Linked DNA regions of Struthio camelus. The protein of the gene in region 1 interacts with the protein of each later gene in a biochemical or structural test. Links are inferred from orthologs where the notes say so. Each region holds a gene or a part of one and is shown on either strand. Other genes may lie near its edges. The genes, in order: STAT2 and IFNAR1.

Region 1 (8,419 bases):
CACCTCCAGCTCCAGCTCCAGCCCGCGGTAGGCGTAGGCCAGCGTGAAGGTGATGAGATGCAGCTCCTCTGTCACGGCCAGGGGACCCTGCGGGGATGGGCGCCCTGAGCTGCTGGCCGCAGCCCCGGGTGCTGCCTGCCCCCCGCAGACCCGCACCCACCTCGCCGGCGCCTTTGCTGCCCTTGCCCGACCCGCTGACTTTCTGCTCCTTCAGCGTCTGCGGGGCACGAGAGAGTCAGTCCAGGGCCCGGGGAGGGGGCTCGAGCCGGGCTGGGGGTGCTGAGCCCCTGCCCCGCTCTCCCTGCCTGGAAGAGGACCCAGGCGTCCGGGGGGGTCTGTACCAGGTGCTGGAAGTCGCAGACCAGCCCGTCCTGGGGGCCGTCACCCGCCACCAGGGTTTTGCTGTTTGACGTCAAGATGTTGAACTTGCGGAAACTGCGGGGCAGAGAGAGGCCAAGGGTGGGGGCCGCTGCAGCTGGGACCCCCGCAGGGGCTGGGATCCTCCCTGGGAGCCGGGATCCTCCCTCGGGAGCCGGGACGCTTTGGGGGCCGGCACTCAGCTCTCACCCTCGGATCTTGGGGGGGTCCCTGCAAGAGACAGCAGGGCGTCAGCGGGCCCTGGGAGCCCCACGGCGAGGCTGGGGGGTCCCCAAATCCCCCCTCTGTGGGGAGGCGGGGGAATGCATCCGGGTGTGGGGGGGGGCCCGACCTGTCGATGTGGATCTTGGCCTCCATGTGGTGGCTGCGGTCGTGCAGGTGGACGAGGAGGCGGGCGCGGACGGAGAACTTGCTGGCCGTGCGCAGCACCAGCGGGCGCTTGCTGGAGGTGGGCATGCTGGGCTGGAGCTCCACCACGAAGGCGCTGGGGGCGAGCGGCCGGCGGGGGGTCAGGGCCGCCCCAGAGCCCTGCGTCCCCCCCCCCGCCCAGGCTTTGCGCCCACCTCTGGAGCAGGTAGGTGAGCAGCTCCCGCAGCCGCGTCTCCAGGAGGGGCGGCTCTGCCTGCAGCGGGTCCCTCTCGTAGGTCACCTTGTGCCGCAGGTCCCCCAGCGCCCGCAACAGCTGCAGCAGCTGGAAGAGCCCCTCGCCCAGCGCCGTGAACCTGCGGGCGCCGCGGCAGCGTCAGCGGGGGCCGGCCGCGGCGCCCCCAGCCCCGGCCCGGCCCGGCCCTACCAGGTCTCCAGCTGGAGCAGGCTGGTGTCGGCGGGGGCCCCCAGGCAGGCGCGCTGCTGCCGCTCCCGCCAGGCCCCCAGCTCCTGCTGCAGGAAGTCCCGCAGGGTCTCGCTGCGCCCCAGCAGCTGCTGCATTTGAGCCAGCACGTCCTGGGGGGAGACGGGAGCCTGAGCAGGGGGTGCAGGGCAGGCCTGGCCCCCCGCCCAGCTCAGGGCCCCGCTCACCCTCCGGCTCCGGTCCAGCTTCTGCAGCTTGGCCTGGAGCCCTTGGACCTGCTTGGCGTACTCGGGATCGCTGGTCCTGTTCTCGCCTGGGGGGTCAGGGGTGAGGGGGGGCCGGCACCCCGGCCCTCCCCGGCCCCGCGTCTCTGCTGCCTGCAGGGGTCGCAGGAAGGATTTGGGCACCCCAAACGAGCCTTACCCGGAAGGTAGTGCACCTTGTAGCAGAAATCAAACATGTCCTGCGCGTCTTCCAGGTGGCGGAAGGCGCGTTCGGCGTCCTGGGGGCAGAGCGGGGGGTGAGGGGGGCCGTGCCGCCCTGCGCCGCCCGGGTGGCCGTGCCGGCGGGGGCCGTTACCTGCAGGGCCGCCTGGAAGTCGGCCAGCCGGCGCTGGATCTCCTGCTGCCGGTCGCTCTGCGGGGGCGCGCTGGGCGCTGGGGCCGCCCCCCCCTGCGGAGACACGGGGCTCTTGGGCACCAGCCGGCCCGGCGGGCGGGGGGGGGCGCCTGCCGGCCCCCCTCCTACCTGCTGCCCCGCGTGCGCCAGGCGCAGGATGCGCTGCTCCTCCTGCAGCAGGTTGGCCACCAGGTTGGCAAATTTCTCCGGGTGCTCCTCGAAAGCAGCCTGCGGATGAGGTGGAGGGGGGGGTCAGCAGGGTGCGGAGCCCCCCCAGGACCCCCCAGCCCAGCCTCGCCGCCTACCTGGAGGTCGCGCCTGGCCTTGCGCAGGTTGTGTTTGAGCATGAAGTCCTCGTCGCCCAGCCCCGGGCTGCCCAGCTGGTCGCCCAGCAGCGCCAACAAGGAGTGGAAGAGCATCCGGGCGTGGGAGGAGAGCGGCTCGGCCGCCTGGCGCCTGCCGGCCCCGCGCGGGGTCAGCGGGGACCCGGCGCGGTTCCCGCCGCCCCAGGGCTCCCCCCGTCCCGTCCCCCCCCCCACCGCCCCCTTACCAGTTCTGGTCCTCGATCCAGGCCGCCAGGCACTGGCGCACCTCCATGGGCAGCGCCACGCTGCTGTACAGCTGGTCGACCTGCTCCAGGGCGGCGTTGGCCAAGCTCTGCAGCTCCTGCCACTGGGCCATGCTGGGGCCAGGCGAGGCCGCTCGCTCGGCAGGCGGCTCAGCCGCGGGCCCTGCCCCGGCCCGGGGCTCCGTGCAGGCGCTGGCAGCCCCGGTCCTGGCCCGGCGGGGAGCGGTGAGCCAGGGAGGGCGTCGGGCTGGGACCCGGCCCGGGACAGGCGTGCTCGGGGGGGCCGAGATACGGGGTGGGGAGGCAGCCCTCCCCAGAACAAGGGGAGCGTCCCAGGGCACCCCCCAAAGCGGCTCCCTGCACCCCCCCAGCAGCACCCCCAAAGGACCCCTCGCAGGGCCTCCCTGCAACCCCCCCCGGGGGCACCCCCTAAACAGGGCTCCCTGCGCCCCCCAGGGGCACCCCCCAAAGGGCCACCCTGCACCCCCCCCGGGGCACCCTTGGCAGGGGCTCCCTGCACTCCCCCGGGGACGCCCCCTAAACAGGGCTCCCTGCAACCCCCAGGGACGCCCCCCGGCAGGACCACCCTGCACCCCCCCGGGGACGCCCCCTAAAGAGGGCTCCCTGCACCCCCCCAGGGACACCCCCTAAACAGGGCTCCCTGCACCCCCCCGGGGACACCCCCCGGCAGGACCACCCTGCACCCTGCCTAGGGACGCCCCTAAAGAGGGCTCCCTGCACCCCCCCAGGGACACCCCCTAAACAGGGCTCCCTGCACCCCCCCGGGGACGCCCCCCGGCAGGACCACCCTGCACTCCCCCGGGGACGCCCCCTAAAGAGGGCTCCCTGCGCCCCCCGGCGCCCCCCGGCGCCCCCCGCGGCCCCCGCCCGGTGCTCGGCGCTGCGCTCCCACCTCGGCCCCCTCCGCGGACTGCCGGGACGGGGCGGGGAGGGCTCCGTGGCCCCGCCCCCTCGCCGCTCTGCGCAGCCATTGGCGGAGAGCGGCGCCGTGGCCACGCCCCCCCGGCCGGGAGATAAGTCTTCCCGCGGGGTCGCCCGCTTCCCAGAAATGACGTGTGGAGGGGGGCGGGGCCATGGGGGGCGGGGCTAACGGGGCAGGGAGGGGGAAGATGGTGGCGCCCTGCTGGGGGCAGGCCGCGGCGGCAGGGACCTGGAGCCAGGGCCGTGGGGCCAGAGCTATGGGGACAGGACCATGGGGCCAGGAACAGGCTGTGGGGCCAGGGCTGTGAGGCCAGGGCCAGGCTGTGGGGCCAGAGCTATGGGGACAGGACCATGGGGCCAGGAACAGGCCGTGGGGCCAGAGCTATGGGGACAGGACCATGGGGCCAGGAACAGGCTGTGGGGCCAGGGCTGTGAGGCCAGGGCCAGGCTGTGGGGCCAGAGCTATGGGGACAGGACCATGGGGCCAGGAACAGGCTGTAGGGCCAGGGCTGTGAGGCCAGGGCCAGGCTGTGGGGCCAGAGCTATGGGGACAGGACCATGGGGCCAGGAACAGGCTGTGGGGCCAGGGCTGTGAGGCCAGGGCCAGGCTGTGGGGCCAGAGCTATGGGGACAGGAACAGGCTGTGGGGCCAGGGCTGTGAGGCCAGGGCCAGGCTGTGGGGCCAGAGCTATGGGGACAGGAACAGGCTGTGGGGCCAGGGCCAGGCTGTGGGGCCAGGGCCATGGGGACAGGGTCATGGGGACAGGAACAGGCTGTGGGGCCAGGGCTGTGGGGCCAGGGCCGGGCTGTGGGGCCAGGGCTATGGGGCCAGCCCGGCTGCCCCAGCCACCCCGGCGCGGCGGCGCTGCTGGGGCAGGCAGGCAGGGCTGGCAGGGGCCAGAGCCCTGCCGTTGGCGCGGGCCGGGCCAAGTTCCCCTTGCCCCGGGGCAGGGTGACCCAGCCATTGATCGTGGCCTGCCCCACACGCACGCATGCACGCACGCACACGCAGCCAGAGGCGCTGCCAGGTGTTTATTGGCGGCTCAGACGAGGAGGACAGGGCCGGCGTGGGCCGTGGGGGCCGGCGGGGGGTCCCCGTCCGAGGTGAAGTAGCAGATGAGGGCCCGCACGCTGGCCTTGAGCCCCGGCTGCAGCCCCAGGTGGACGCCGTAGGCCACGGGGCCGCCCGCGGCGGCGCTGAGCGCCGTGAGGCTGTCGTAGCCCAGGTCGACGGCCGCCTCCAAGGCCCGCTCAGACGCCAGCTCCTCGCAGCCCTGGTAGGCGTAGTAGAGGCTGGTGCCCAGGTTGTACAAGGTGCTGATGCTGGGCACCCACTCCAGGATCCTGTGCACCTCCTGCTCCCCCGGCGAGCTGCAGATGTCCTCGCTGGAGCGCCGGCTCCGGCCCCGGGGCGCCCGGCTGCACCGCTGGAGCCAGGAGCGGGCCCCCAGCGCCGGCAGCACCTGGGCGCCCTGACGCCGCACGGCCTGGAAGGAGGAGGGCCCCGCGGCTGCCACGCCGGCGCAGGCAGCCTGCAGGCGCTGGCAGGCCCTCGCGGCCCCGGCGAAGCGGCTGTGGGTGCTGGCCACGGGGCCCCAGAGCTGGATGTTGGAGAGCGGCGTCAGGCCGGCGCAGGGCTGGACGGGGACGGAGGCGCCGAGCTGGGCCAGGCTCAAGAGCAGGGGCAGGTGGCCGCTGCCCGGGGCACGCTGGAGCCGCACCAGCCCCTGCAGCAGGGCCTCAGCCGTGGGGCCCTCAAGCTCCCGGTACAGCCCCAGCACCAGCGCCTCGGCCTGGGGGCCGCAGCCCGCCTCGCTGAGCGCCAGCGCCAGGGCAGCCTGGGCCAGCACGCGGGGCAGCGCCGGGAGCTGGGAGAAGCCGGGCAGGGCATCGGGCTGCAGGTCACGGCAGGAGACGCCGGCGGCCCCGGGCAGTGCCTGCGGCAGGCCCAGCTCGGAGAGCCGCGCCAGCAGCGCCCGAGCTGCGGCGGCAGCGTCCGGCCCGGGGGGCACGGTGGAGCTGGCCGCAGCGCCAAGGCAGAGGAGGAGGCTGAGCAGAGCCCAGCGCATGGCAGGTCGTTCCCGGCAGAGCCTGTCAAGGCAGCAGGAGGGGGCAGAGCCCATGAGCTCCCGGTGGCCACAGCTCCCCCCCCCCCCCCCAACCACCCCAGCCCCACCAGCGCCCCCGCTCACCCACTGCCGATGCTCGCGTCCCCAAGCCCGCAGGACAGCCGCTGCGTGTCTGTGGCCGACCCCCTTCTCTGGTCCTTTTATAGCCCCTGCCTGGGCCCTTATCGAGGGCCGGTTGCGACACGCTGGGGGCTGGGCCCGATCCTGCAAGCATCTTGGCACCTTCCCGGAACAGAGGGGTGGGAGGGGACAGAGGTCTCCACCCAGCGCGGTGGGACAGAGGAGGGGACGCAGCAGGGATGGGGCAGTGCTCCCCCCATGGGAACGAAGGCATCCAAGTCAGGGAGAGATTTGCACTTTTTATTTGGTCTCTTTCCCCATTAAAAGGTGGCATTAGAAAAGAAAAGGACATCCTTGAGAAACAGCAACCTTTAAACTAAAAACACGGAGATGGACATGAGAAGGGGAGAGGAGGGGGACAGTGGGAGCCTGCTTTCACCCCACCCTTAAAAACTAGTTTAAAAACCTGCAGAAAAAGCAGAAAACTAAATACAAGGAAGCCCACAGGGAGCAGGGCCCGCAGCCCCCTGCTCCCTGCAGGGCTGGGATACACTGAGGGTCTGGGCAGGGCACAAAGAGCCTTTCAGTCCTCCTCTTCCTCTTCCTCCTCCTCCACGCGGCGAACCCGCTTCCGCCTGCTGGGGGGCTGCAGCACCTCATCCTCCTCCACACAGGGCCCAGCAGGGCCTGGCCCAGCACCTGCAGGGGCAGAGGGGGTCCAGTGGGGGCCGGGACCCCCAGCACCATACTCTGCCTGGGGTGGGGGCCCAGCCCTGCACTCAGCCTTCCTCCCAGCCCCACGCTCTGGGGGGCAGGGACATGGTGAGCATCACCCAGCAGCAGCCCTGTGGGAGACCCCCTGGGCCCTGGTGGGGGGCTGCGAGCCCCCCAGGGAGGTGCTGTGTTACATGCAAGAAGCAGGGGCGCAGCTCACCCAGGCTTGCAGTGTCCTCGTCGTCACTGTGCACCTGCCACCTCCGCTTGGTGCCCGCCTGTGCCGGGACCGGGCCCGGCTCAGCACTGTAGCGATGGCGACGGGTTAGAAGAGGCCGACGCTGCGCTGCCCAGCCCCAGGGGCACAGGTCTGTCCCCACCACACGGGGAGAGGCCAGGAGTCTGCCCCCCCCCCCCAAGCTGGGAGAAGACCCAGGTGTCTGGGGCAGGGGTCTAGCAAGAGCTCCCCTTCTCACCTCTCCAAGTCCGATCCCGGCGAAGCCGGTGGCTGCTCTGCTGAGAGGGACAAGGGAAAGAGCGGATCAGGGCTGGTCCCGTCGCTGGGAGAGCCCTGAGCCCAGCTCCCCCCACCCTGTCCCGGCCCCTCACCTGGAGCTGGCCCCTGGGGATGCTGCGGTGCCGAGAGCTGTCCCGGGGATCCCTCGGGCTCAGGTCCTTGGCGGGCGAGGGAGGCAGCCGCACGGCGGAGCTGCTGGGGCGTGAGGGTGGCCGGGATGCGCCAGAAGGACTCCTGGGTAGAGAGGGGAGATGCTGCAGGGCTGGGCTACGCCGTGCCTGGGGGGCATGGTGGTGGTGGTGGGGGGGGTCTCACCTGCTCGCTGGCAGGGGGCCGGACCCCCAGCTTCCGCAGCAGGGCCTGGAAGCGCCTGTCCTCCATAGCGTCCTCGTTCTCCTCCGAGAGCGGCACCAAGGGCACCGGGTGGGACACGCCTGGGCACAGAGAGTGCCGTGAGCCTGGCCCTGGCCCCGGCCCCGGCCCCCAGCCCCAGGCTCCCACTCACCGTCCTCCTCGCGGTCCCCAGCCGTCCGCTTCAAGTAGTTCTCCAGCCACTGCAGAGGCCCAGCCAGGCCTGCGGACACGGAGAAGGCCAGACAGGATCCATCCTCCCGGAGCCAAACGCAAACCAGAGGCCTGAACAGCCTCAGCCCCCACTCACCTTCCTGCCTCAGACGCTGTGCCAGTCCCTGCCCAGCCCCGTCTTCAGGCACCCAGTGCTCCTCCATGGGGCCTTCCTCAGCACCGTCCTCTTCCTCCTCCTCCTCGTCACTGTCGCCCTCCTCTGCTGAGCTGTCCCGGGCGGGTGCCCCCAAGGGCTCCATCTCATCCTACCAAGGACCAGCCCTGCCTTCCAGCACCCACCTGGGACAAGGCTCCCTCCTCACCCTTCCCGCACACCCCTCCTACCGCCAGGAGGGCATGGCCCTTCCTCCTGCGTTTCTTGTACAGTTCCTTGCGCTCCGACACCAGCCCCAGCCCCAGCAGCTTCTCCACCACGCGGGCCCGGGACCGCCTGGCTGTCAGGTTCTTCATGATGTTGCCCAGGACATCTATGGGGAGGTGAGGAGTGAGTGTGGGGCACCAAGCCTGGCCAGAGCCCCAACCTGGGGGCTGCCCCACTGGGCGCCCACCCCTGCCCGGCCCCACCCACCATCTGTGCCCTGGAACTCCTCAAAGAGCCGCTCCAGCTCCAGCTCCTGCTCCTGCGTCCACAGCACGATGCGGGTGCCCTTCCTAGGGGGATTGCAACTGCTCAGCCCTGCCTTGGAGCTGGGAAAGAACCCAGGCGACCAGGCCCCCTGGCCCTGAGGACATCAAACAAAGGCATCCTGCCCCAGTGGCGGCCAGACCCACCTCTCCCGTGGGAAGTCCTTGACGCTGTTGGCCAGCCCCAGCCGCACCAGCTGGTTCACAACTTGTCTCCGCGTGCGCCCAGGCGCCTGCAGGTGGGCCAGGATGTTTGCAATGATGTCCTCCCCTACGGGAGCAGGAGACTGTTGTGGAGGAGCAGGAAGAAACCTTGACTGCCCCCACTCCTCCCACAGAGGACCCAGGAATCCAGTTCTTCCCCCAGACTCTTACTCCCCCCTCCTCAGGCCGTTACCTTCCACCTCCTTGTACTTCCAGTAAAGCTCTCGCAGCTCCCGTTCCTCCTGGGGAGTCCAGGCTGGGGCCTTCCGTGTGCTGGCCCTGAGCAGAGG
Region 2 (8,533 bases), on another chromosome or scaffold:
CCCATCTCAGGGAGAGTAAATCAAAGAAAGAAAAAAATCATTTCAAAATCTACTAATTAATATTTCATTTATTTTAATTTTATAGTGTTTTCAAAGAATAGTTTATTTGAATATAGGACATATTACATCTTCCAGTTCATGGCTGATAGAGATGAAGAGAGAGAATTTGTTCAAGACAGCAAGATTCACAATACACTGCCTTGAATTGCACATACCCTCACGGAGAGGTTTGCAACGCCTGTTTAATTTAGGATTTGCTGCCTTAGAAAAAGCAGCTGCCTTATAAGTTCACCTTGAATCTTTAAATACTGTTTAAAATGAAAACAAGTTGTTAGATCAAAAGTTGCTTAAAATTATACATCATTTCACTCAAAATGGAAATGCTGAAACAAGAACGATTTCTTAATCTCCTATTTGAATTATGAAGAACATGAAAGTATACTCCTATTTCATGACTGTTATAATACTGTTTTATGGCAGACTTCATAACAGAGAGGATAAAGTGATGATTTATATTTTTCCTCAACTCCCTCCCATCTTTTTCAGATGTAAAATCATGACAAGTCTGACTTTAAACCTAAAAGTTTTTCAATAACTTGAGCAGTTTGACAATGATTCAGCATCTGGGACCACAACTTGCGGTAGTGACAAAATCGCTTTTGATATCAGTATGTTTTATTTAAGTTTATCCAAACAGTTCCGTATAAGAAACGGTCAAAGGCTGAAAAACAGATTAGCCAATAAAAAAGATGGAAAGTTTGTTTTCTTCTTCTCCACTAGAAAGAGGAGATGAAAAGATCGCATCATTCTAAAACCCTGATGAATCAGTCGTCGATGGCGAATTCTCCCATTAAAGGGAATTCTTCCATTGCTTAATAAATCAATATTAGAGATATGTATCTTATACACTCGTACCAGTTTTACCTGAAAAAACTAAAACTTCATTAAGAATAATCTGCCTGTGAATTTTAATTGAATTTTAGTTTCCATTCCAAATAGTGCCTGATAGAAATCATGATATTTCTATGCAGAACGGATCACCATTTTCCCCAGGTGTAAAGTATTAAAAACATAAATGCATATTATAACTGTAGCTGCTTACATAGATATGTGGGGAACATGATCTTATGGGGAACAGAAAGGATAGCCAAGATTCGGATAATCCCCATAATTTAGATATTTAGATAATTAGAATCAAACTTTTCATAAATAAACAAATGTAAACCAGACTAAAGTTAGTCACTAAAATCAAGACTTCTTGCTGGCTTATTTTACTCTTGATTAAACGCAGTCACATTTAAGATCAATTCATACTTCTTAATATAAAGCATCACAACACTTTGGTGCTGAGGATAATATTATAAGAGATTAGACTGCCAAAGAAAGAAGAGATTAAAGACAAAAAAAACTTTTAGCAAGATTTCCTATCTTCCTTCCCTTGTCATATTTTTATAAACTCAAATAAATAAAAATCTGTTCTAATGCTATAAGCTAGTGATACTCAAAGGATAAATGACAATTAATTAATTCCAGTGAGTATTTTCAATAAGCGATGGTTGAAAATAACAAAGATTACGTAACACAGCAGCATAACAAAAAGTCATCTAACAACAGAAGAAACTAGTTTTAGCAAGACACAAATATACCTCCTCAGAAGAGGGCAAAGTAGAGCATCACGTTAACTATGTGGGTGGAACCAATGGAAACTTTAACTCAACCTTTAGCATAGGAAGGAAAGGAGATCTATTATATGTGATACTAAAACACATTGAAAAGAACAACAAAACCCACAACCAAACCCATATCAGAGACAATCAAACTGTTATTGGCTCCATGGACGGAAAGGTTCTCTACAGAACCAAGGTTACTGCAAGAACTTTTAATCAGGAGTAGCAGAAAGGAACAGCTGTTTTTTGGCAAGGCAGAAGGTGAGAGGTCACTGCAGCCGGCCAGTTTCTTCTAACCCTTGTGGTATGTGGCACGTTATTCATTTTCTATAAATGTGTGGGTTAATCAAAGTAGCCACATGTATCGTAATACTTCCAGTTCGGGACTGGAATTTTGGGGTGATGCACTAAGCGTTCATTTACAAACCAGAAGATATCAAATAGCTGAAAGCAAGAAACACAAGAGGTCCTCAAACTGCTTGAATCCTACCACAAACATGAAGTGTGGACCCCAGAAAACAGCCTCCAGCCTTCCTTTAGGTATGCCAAACTGAAACAATGCAATCTTATAGAGTTACCAGAACTCAGCCTAGCTTAGGATCAGAAGCGCATACGCACACTAGCCCATAGCTCTAACATCTCCGTTATTCAAACTAGCTTAGCCCAAATATTCTCTGCTGCATTCTGTCATGTATCATAAATATGCAGGAAGGTAATTTACAGCTTACAGGAGATGCCTGACATCTCCCTCTCAAGAAAGCAGGCTCTGAGCAACATGTGGTTTCCCTATGCTTAAGGATATAACAAGAGGCTTATGTTGCTATCACATAAGGTAAAATCCTCCTGCAATCTTACTTTTCTCATTTCCCTATTTAAACTTTATGCTCTACCAAGCTAAGTAGAGATGCCTTTCAAGCAAACTAGCACGATTCAAGAACCTGTTTGCAAAACACTTACACTACAGCCACTACTTTTCATATACAGCAGGTAAACCTGAAGCAGACTGGATAATACAGCTACCTAAATGTATCACCTACGGTAAAAACCGAGACGCTAGGTGGCTAACTTACACCGAGCCCTGCTCACTCAAGACGATACACCCAATCCAGATTCAAGATCCGGGCTGCTTTTATACCCTCCGAGCTGTGCCTACACCACAGCGCCCACGCTGCCAGCAGCTTCTAGGACCACGTCTCACCACAAAGCCTCCTGAAGAAACCGAGAGCCGAGCCGCGAACGGCAAGCACCGCTACGGGTCTCGGCGGCGGGGCGCGGGCGGACAGCAGCACAGAGCCCAGGCACAAGGCACGACCCGCGGCTACCGGCGCCGCCGGGGGCCACACGGCTGACAAGAGGGCTGGGCACGCGACCCCGCTTCGCCAACGGCCGCCAACGGCCAGAAGCGGCGGCGCGCGCCGCGCCGCGCCGACCCCCCCCCCCCACCCCGCTACGCTAACGGACGCGGCGCGAGCCGCCCCCGCGCGCCCCGCCGCCAAAGGCGCAGCGCCCTACCCTCCCGGGCCCACCTGCGCAGCGGGGGGCCAGCGCGACCAGGAGGCACGAGAGGAGCCCCGCGAGCAGCCCCGCCATGGCTCCGCGACCCGCCTAAGCCGCGGCGGCCGCCACCGTCCCGCCGCCCATCCGGCAGCTGCTACCGCGGGCGGTCGCGCAGCTCCCGGAAGCCTCGGGCACGCCGCGCATGCGCGGACCGCCTTCCGCGCCGCTGCGGCCTGCGAAATGGCGGCGGTGGTGGGTGATGAGGGCGTGTTAAGACGGGGAGAAACGTCGGCCTGGGGGCGACTAGCGGCCCGTCAGATGTTTTGCTTCCAGCAGTGGCAGTAGGAGATGTCGTCTGAGGAGAGCAAGTGGGTTTGGACGCTCTGTGGTGCGTCTCCAGAGAAAACCCAGAGAGCTGGGTGTCTTCTGGTGGGGAGGAACTTGGCTTTGGCATAAATTCGTTCTTCTCAGCCGTCTTGTCAGCGCTCATGTTTCCTGTCCTTGGCCTGCCGGTGCTGTCTGGTAGCTTGCTCTCCTCCCAAAGCCGAGAGAACCCATTCACACAACCCTAAGGGAAAGGGGCCTTTCTGACAATGTGCCCCCTTATAGATAGTCAAAAAAATCAACAAATCACAAGATACTTTGAGTCACAGAGGGAGAAACAAAATCTGTAGAGTTTCAGGAGTTAGGGCGATTGTCTGCAGAGGGGAAAATCTGTGTTCTGGTCTAGTCTGCCCTGCTCCTTGAGTGTATGATGAAGGCTACAGTGAGTGTTCAATGCAGCATGCATACTGCTGCCCTTGCAGTGGGGTTTGGACCCCAGCTTACTCTTTTTGCAGGTAGGAGTCCTAGTTTCTTGACTACAGAGCTCGCCTTCCCTTTTTCTGTTTCATATTTTTCAATAAGGTTATCCAGCTGCAATGGGAGGAGCAATGAGAGGTTACCTTTCACTTCCTACCCCCTGAAAACAACCTACTCCTAAGTGGGCACAACAGTGTATTCAGAGATGAGGATTTGAAACTCCAGCAGGCAAAGGCCTGTATTTTCCACATCCTAGGTGCTATGAATATGACATTATTTGTGGCATAAGGAAGCAACAATGCTTCCAGCCATGCTTCTGGACAAAAATGGTATTGGCTGCTGCCTTTTCTGCCATGAGGTGTTTGATATGCTTTGAGCATGTCTACTAAATCTAGGCCCTCTGGGAACACAGGCGGGGAGCACACAAGATGCTCATGATTGGAGCCTAAATTCTTTTGGTCTGTAAATCTTTAAGAAATGCTTGAGGACTACTCAAGCAAGATACACAAATGAGCAAAATCAGCTTTATTTTGAGATACAGGTGTAGGGACCCTGTTCTGACCATGAGGCAGTTAAGTCACCAGTACCACGTGAGATGGCAAAAGTTGAGCCAGAGACAGATCATTTTTATGGTTTGTATCATATTTTCGTATGATAACCTTTCTATGAGTTGCTTTTCCAAGGTGGTCATCAACATGGGAACAGGTAACCACAATGTCAGTTCCGTTTGTACATCTGTCACTCTGCTGCTCTTATTTACTTCACATTGATTATTACTTTTTTTTTTTTTAATTACAATACAGATCCTTTCTAATTGCAGAACTGTAAGTGTCATATTCTTAGGGACCAAGAAGAGAAATGCTAGTGTGCAGCCTTCTGATCAGCTATTGAAGACATAATCACAAAGCTTCAGAAGATCCTAGGGCCAATGTAGTTCCACTTGAAGTCAGTCATTAAATATGCTTCAGAGGGGTGTGTATATCTCAGTCATATTCCATTTCTAGATGGTCTCAAAAATGTGAATGAAGGTGAAATACTATGGACCCAATATTGTCAGAAATACCACAATTATGTTCATAATAAAAAGCCCATACCATTAATATCAAACTGTACTTGTGAAATGTAGATGCTATTAGTTCCTGCAAATGAATGGATGCATGTACAGGCTTACTCGGCTCAGGGAGGTAAAAGCTGCAAACCTGTACCATCAAAAATACTGATGATTAAGAGGAGGTTAATACCATTTTGGTGAAGACTTAGAGGAGGTTGTGGATAATTATATCCTTTGAAACACCCAGTGTCTAATGTTGTCTAGCATGTTACAAGTGCCTATGCTTAGCACAATTTCTTTAAAGAAAAAGTAGTTTATGGAGTTTTTAAGCAATGAATGTAATTTTACTTTCTGTTTTCTATTATTAATCTGTTTTGATCAATAAGTATACAATGCAAAAAATTTATAATGCAGAGGTTTATTTATTGTGAAAGATAATTGATTGAGTGAATGATAGAATTGTTACACTATTGAGTACCAGTCATTTTGGGCTATCATGTCTATCAGGATCATCATATGATGTAGTCACCAGATAATCAGTGAGGAAAAGCAGTTTTGTGATGAAAGCAAAACAAGTAGGGCCTAATCTGTTTGCGAAATATTAGTTTCACCGTGATTACCATGTGTGGTTTCTGTGTAAACAAGTTGTTCTCTAAAACAAAGGCAATTATTTATCTTCTTTATGAAGCTGTAAAACAAAAAAAGTTAGTATATTAGCATTATTGAACCATCTTTGAAATCTTAACATGAGGATTTCAAAGCAACATTCAACACAGCTATTATACTACCACAGGCAGTACACATCTAACCTTTTAGCAGTAAGCGCTCTCTAATAAATGAAGTGAAATGATAACCTTTTATTAGCTCCGTGGTATTAAGAACACCATTTTGAAGAGACAGACTTTCCAGTGGCAGTCAATTTTCTTTTAGTCCTTTGTGAGTAATTCTTTGATAATTTTCTAATACTGACATGCACTGGCCACACTAGGACTCTCCAGATGATGGTCTCCCTGATAAGGAACCCAAATGGCATATTATTTTGCCAATGGTTACCACAAAACAGGCCTTCACTTGGTGCGTCAGTGATGCCACAGTCCTCCACCTGAGGAAGACGCATACCGTCCTATAGGGTCAAACCAGGCCTATACTACGCAGCCCTTTCCCATTATAAGATGGGTCATATTGCGCATGAAAAAATAGACTTGTCCATGAGGGCTCCACCCCTTCCCAGGACTGCTAGGTTTACGGTGCGTGCACGAATCGTGTATGCGGCAGATGCACGCAAGGTTCAGTGTTTCCTGGAAGTGCCATCTTTTCTGACACACATGAACTTATAGAGATGCAGACACCAATAAGAAACATGCTTATTTGGTGCCTGCAGCCTGTTGCTGCACAGATCTGAGGACCACCTGGGAAGACGGCCATGTAGGAGGAGGCAGCTGCTGTCAGAGCAGTTCATACGGCCTCGCTCAGCTCCTCGCACACCCAAGCGCTCCTGAAACTGAGCTGGGGAGCAAGCAATGGGCTCTGGTGGCAGCACTTGCTACGTGATGAGAGAAGGACTTTGACAACAGAAAATGCTGGTGCCTGAGAGCGTGACTGCCAGCTCTTGGCTAGTGTTTCCATCTTGCAGCTCACTTTCAAGAGGCTTCTAGGAAAAGACTACCGAGAAGGAGCTGCGGACTGGATGAATTGTTCTGCACAGCTGTAGGCTTAACAGCCCCTCATAGACAGTCATGAAGTGCTAAAAGTCAAGAGATGTACTCAGCACATTTCTTTCAAGTCTAGTGAGAGGAAAACTAAGCTCTTTAAAGTTAGGAGTTGGCTGCAAGAATTATGAAAGATGTGTTACTGCAAGATGGAAGGTACTCCTATACTAAAAAGAGGAGGTTAGTTAAAAGCATGTTATAAGGTAGAGCTGCTCAGCCAGGAAAACATTGCCAGGAGAAAGAAATTTATGCTGCACTTCAAGAATGGACTGTTACTGAAATAAATGATGCGTTACGATGGAGCCTGTAAAGGATAAATGGCTGCCTATAACATATCGCTTAGGAGGATGTATTGTTGCAGGGCATTTTTCACCCTCAGCCAAATTTGTTCTATGATAATTTGTTATCTTATGCTCAAAGTGTACAGGAAAACATATTTACAGCAAGTTATTTTATGTAAATTGCATTTCACAGCAACCATTTTGCAGTCTATATCATGAAATGAACTGCACCTAATGTGCTAGTCTATTGCTGGTGGAAATAATTAGAAGTCTAATAAATATACCACAGTGTTTACAGTTTATATTCCTGTAAAACTGAATGCAACTTCCTCACTGGTCTTACAGAAGAAAGAGACAGAAACTGGAGTCAGTCCAATCTATTAGAAGACAGGCTCTATCTACAGTACACAGGCAACCCAACACAGGGGAAGATGGTGTGTTCCCCTGTGAATATCACTGTCAGTACTAAAACATCTGTGCAGTGGCGGCAGCTAAGCCAGGCAGGCTCCATTGCATTTATTTCAGTTGGCTCACAGACAAAGGAGAAGCCTTTTGCTTATTTCTTCTGTGAACTCTGGAGCGCGATAAAAGAAGCAAATACAGTATTTCGTCTTTTTAGAAAAGCATAGAAAAGTCGTGCCACAAAGGCAGAACCCTAGGAGGCCCAGCAGTTCATTGTGCAGCCCCAAGGCAGGATCAGTTGTTTTTGTCTCCTTTCTAATGGATATTTGTTTTTAGGTTTTTATGCCACCTTCCAGGCAATATCTTCCATGTCTTTTCTGTTGTCATCATTATAAAACTGTTCCTCATAGGGCTGCCTGTTGCAGTCTAGTAACTTGCTTCCTGTCTATCGTGGACATTTATAAAAGAGTTTATTCATTTCCTGTTTTCAGCAGCCTTTTACATATTTGGAGGTTGTTATGTCCCCATCAGACTTCTCTTTGTGAGGCTACATAATACCAGTTCTTTTAATTTTCCTTCACAGAGCGTATTTTGTTGTCCTCCTCCAGACTTTTCTCAGCACTGGATATAGCCTTCCACATGGCCTTGCAAGTGCTAAATAGTGGGAAGGATTATTTTACGTGTCTCATGGACTGTACTGTGGTTTGTGTCCTCTGCATAGTATTTGCCCCTTTTGGAACAGTGAAACATTTTGGAAGATGAAAACATTACAAATAAAGTATATGTTCAAAAAATGCCTGCTTCCTTCCCAGCATTGTGTCGCACGAAACCCCACTAACTTCTTCACAAATGGAGATTTTTCCCCTCCCCCTTCCAAAGGGAGTGGCATGAAGTAGGACAGGGTTATAGTTTAGGGATTTTCCATATAAATGCTACTACAACAGAGAAAACTTTTGTCCGTGTAAACAGATCTGTGTCTGTATCTTTCTAACATCACAAGCAATTTGCTTCTGAGATTTTACTGTTGTTGGAACCAGAGTATTTCACATTGGGGCAAGCTACATAACAGCGGTGCAAGTTTTCCAAAATATTCCCATGTTCCTTCTCATACTATTTTAGACTTCA

The links.
Region 2: the proteins of STAT2 (region 1) and IFNAR1 form a complex in vitro, tested with the Homo sapiens proteins (2 studies listed by BioGRID). The link is inferred for Struthio camelus from reciprocal best matches to the Homo sapiens genes STAT2 and IFNAR1.

The regions. Positions count from the first base shown.
Region 1 is NC_090969.1:443,447-451,865, reverse strand, and holds the start of STAT2 (signal transducer and activator of transcription 2), read right to left. Parts: upstream 3,308-8,419; 5' UTR 3,268-3,307; intron 2,562-3,267; 5' UTR 2,468-2,561; coding exon 2,337-2,467; intron 2,243-2,336; coding exon 2,092-2,242; intron 2,015-2,091; coding exon 1,916-2,014; intron 1,841-1,915; coding exon 1,748-1,840; intron 1,671-1,747; coding exon 1,592-1,670; intron 1,482-1,591; coding exon 1,396-1,481; intron 1,321-1,395; coding exon 1,172-1,320; intron 1,101-1,171; coding exon 942-1,100; intron 863-941; coding exon 710-862; intron 589-709; coding exon 568-588; intron 436-567; coding exon 342-435; intron 218-341; coding exon 161-217; intron 88-160; coding exon 4-87; intron 1-3. Other genes in the region: APOF (apolipoprotein F), read right to left, coding at 4,340-5,365; protein timeless homolog, read right to left, coding at 6,069-6,184, 6,420-6,505, 6,676-6,715, 6,809-6,950, 7,032-7,150, 7,222-7,290, 7,378-7,546, 7,626-7,768 and 3 more. UniProt on the Homo sapiens protein: Signal transducer and activator of transcription that mediates signaling by type I interferons (IFN-alpha and IFN-beta).
Region 2 is NC_090942.1:120,306,724-120,315,256, reverse strand, and holds the start of IFNAR1 (interferon alpha/beta receptor 1), read right to left. Parts: upstream 3,379-8,533; 5' UTR 3,258-3,378; coding exon of another isoform or gene 3,194-3,257; intron 2,778-3,193; exon of another isoform or gene 2,738-2,777; intron 1-2,737. UniProt on the Homo sapiens protein: Together with IFNAR2, forms the heterodimeric receptor for type I interferons (including interferons alpha, beta, epsilon, omega and kappa).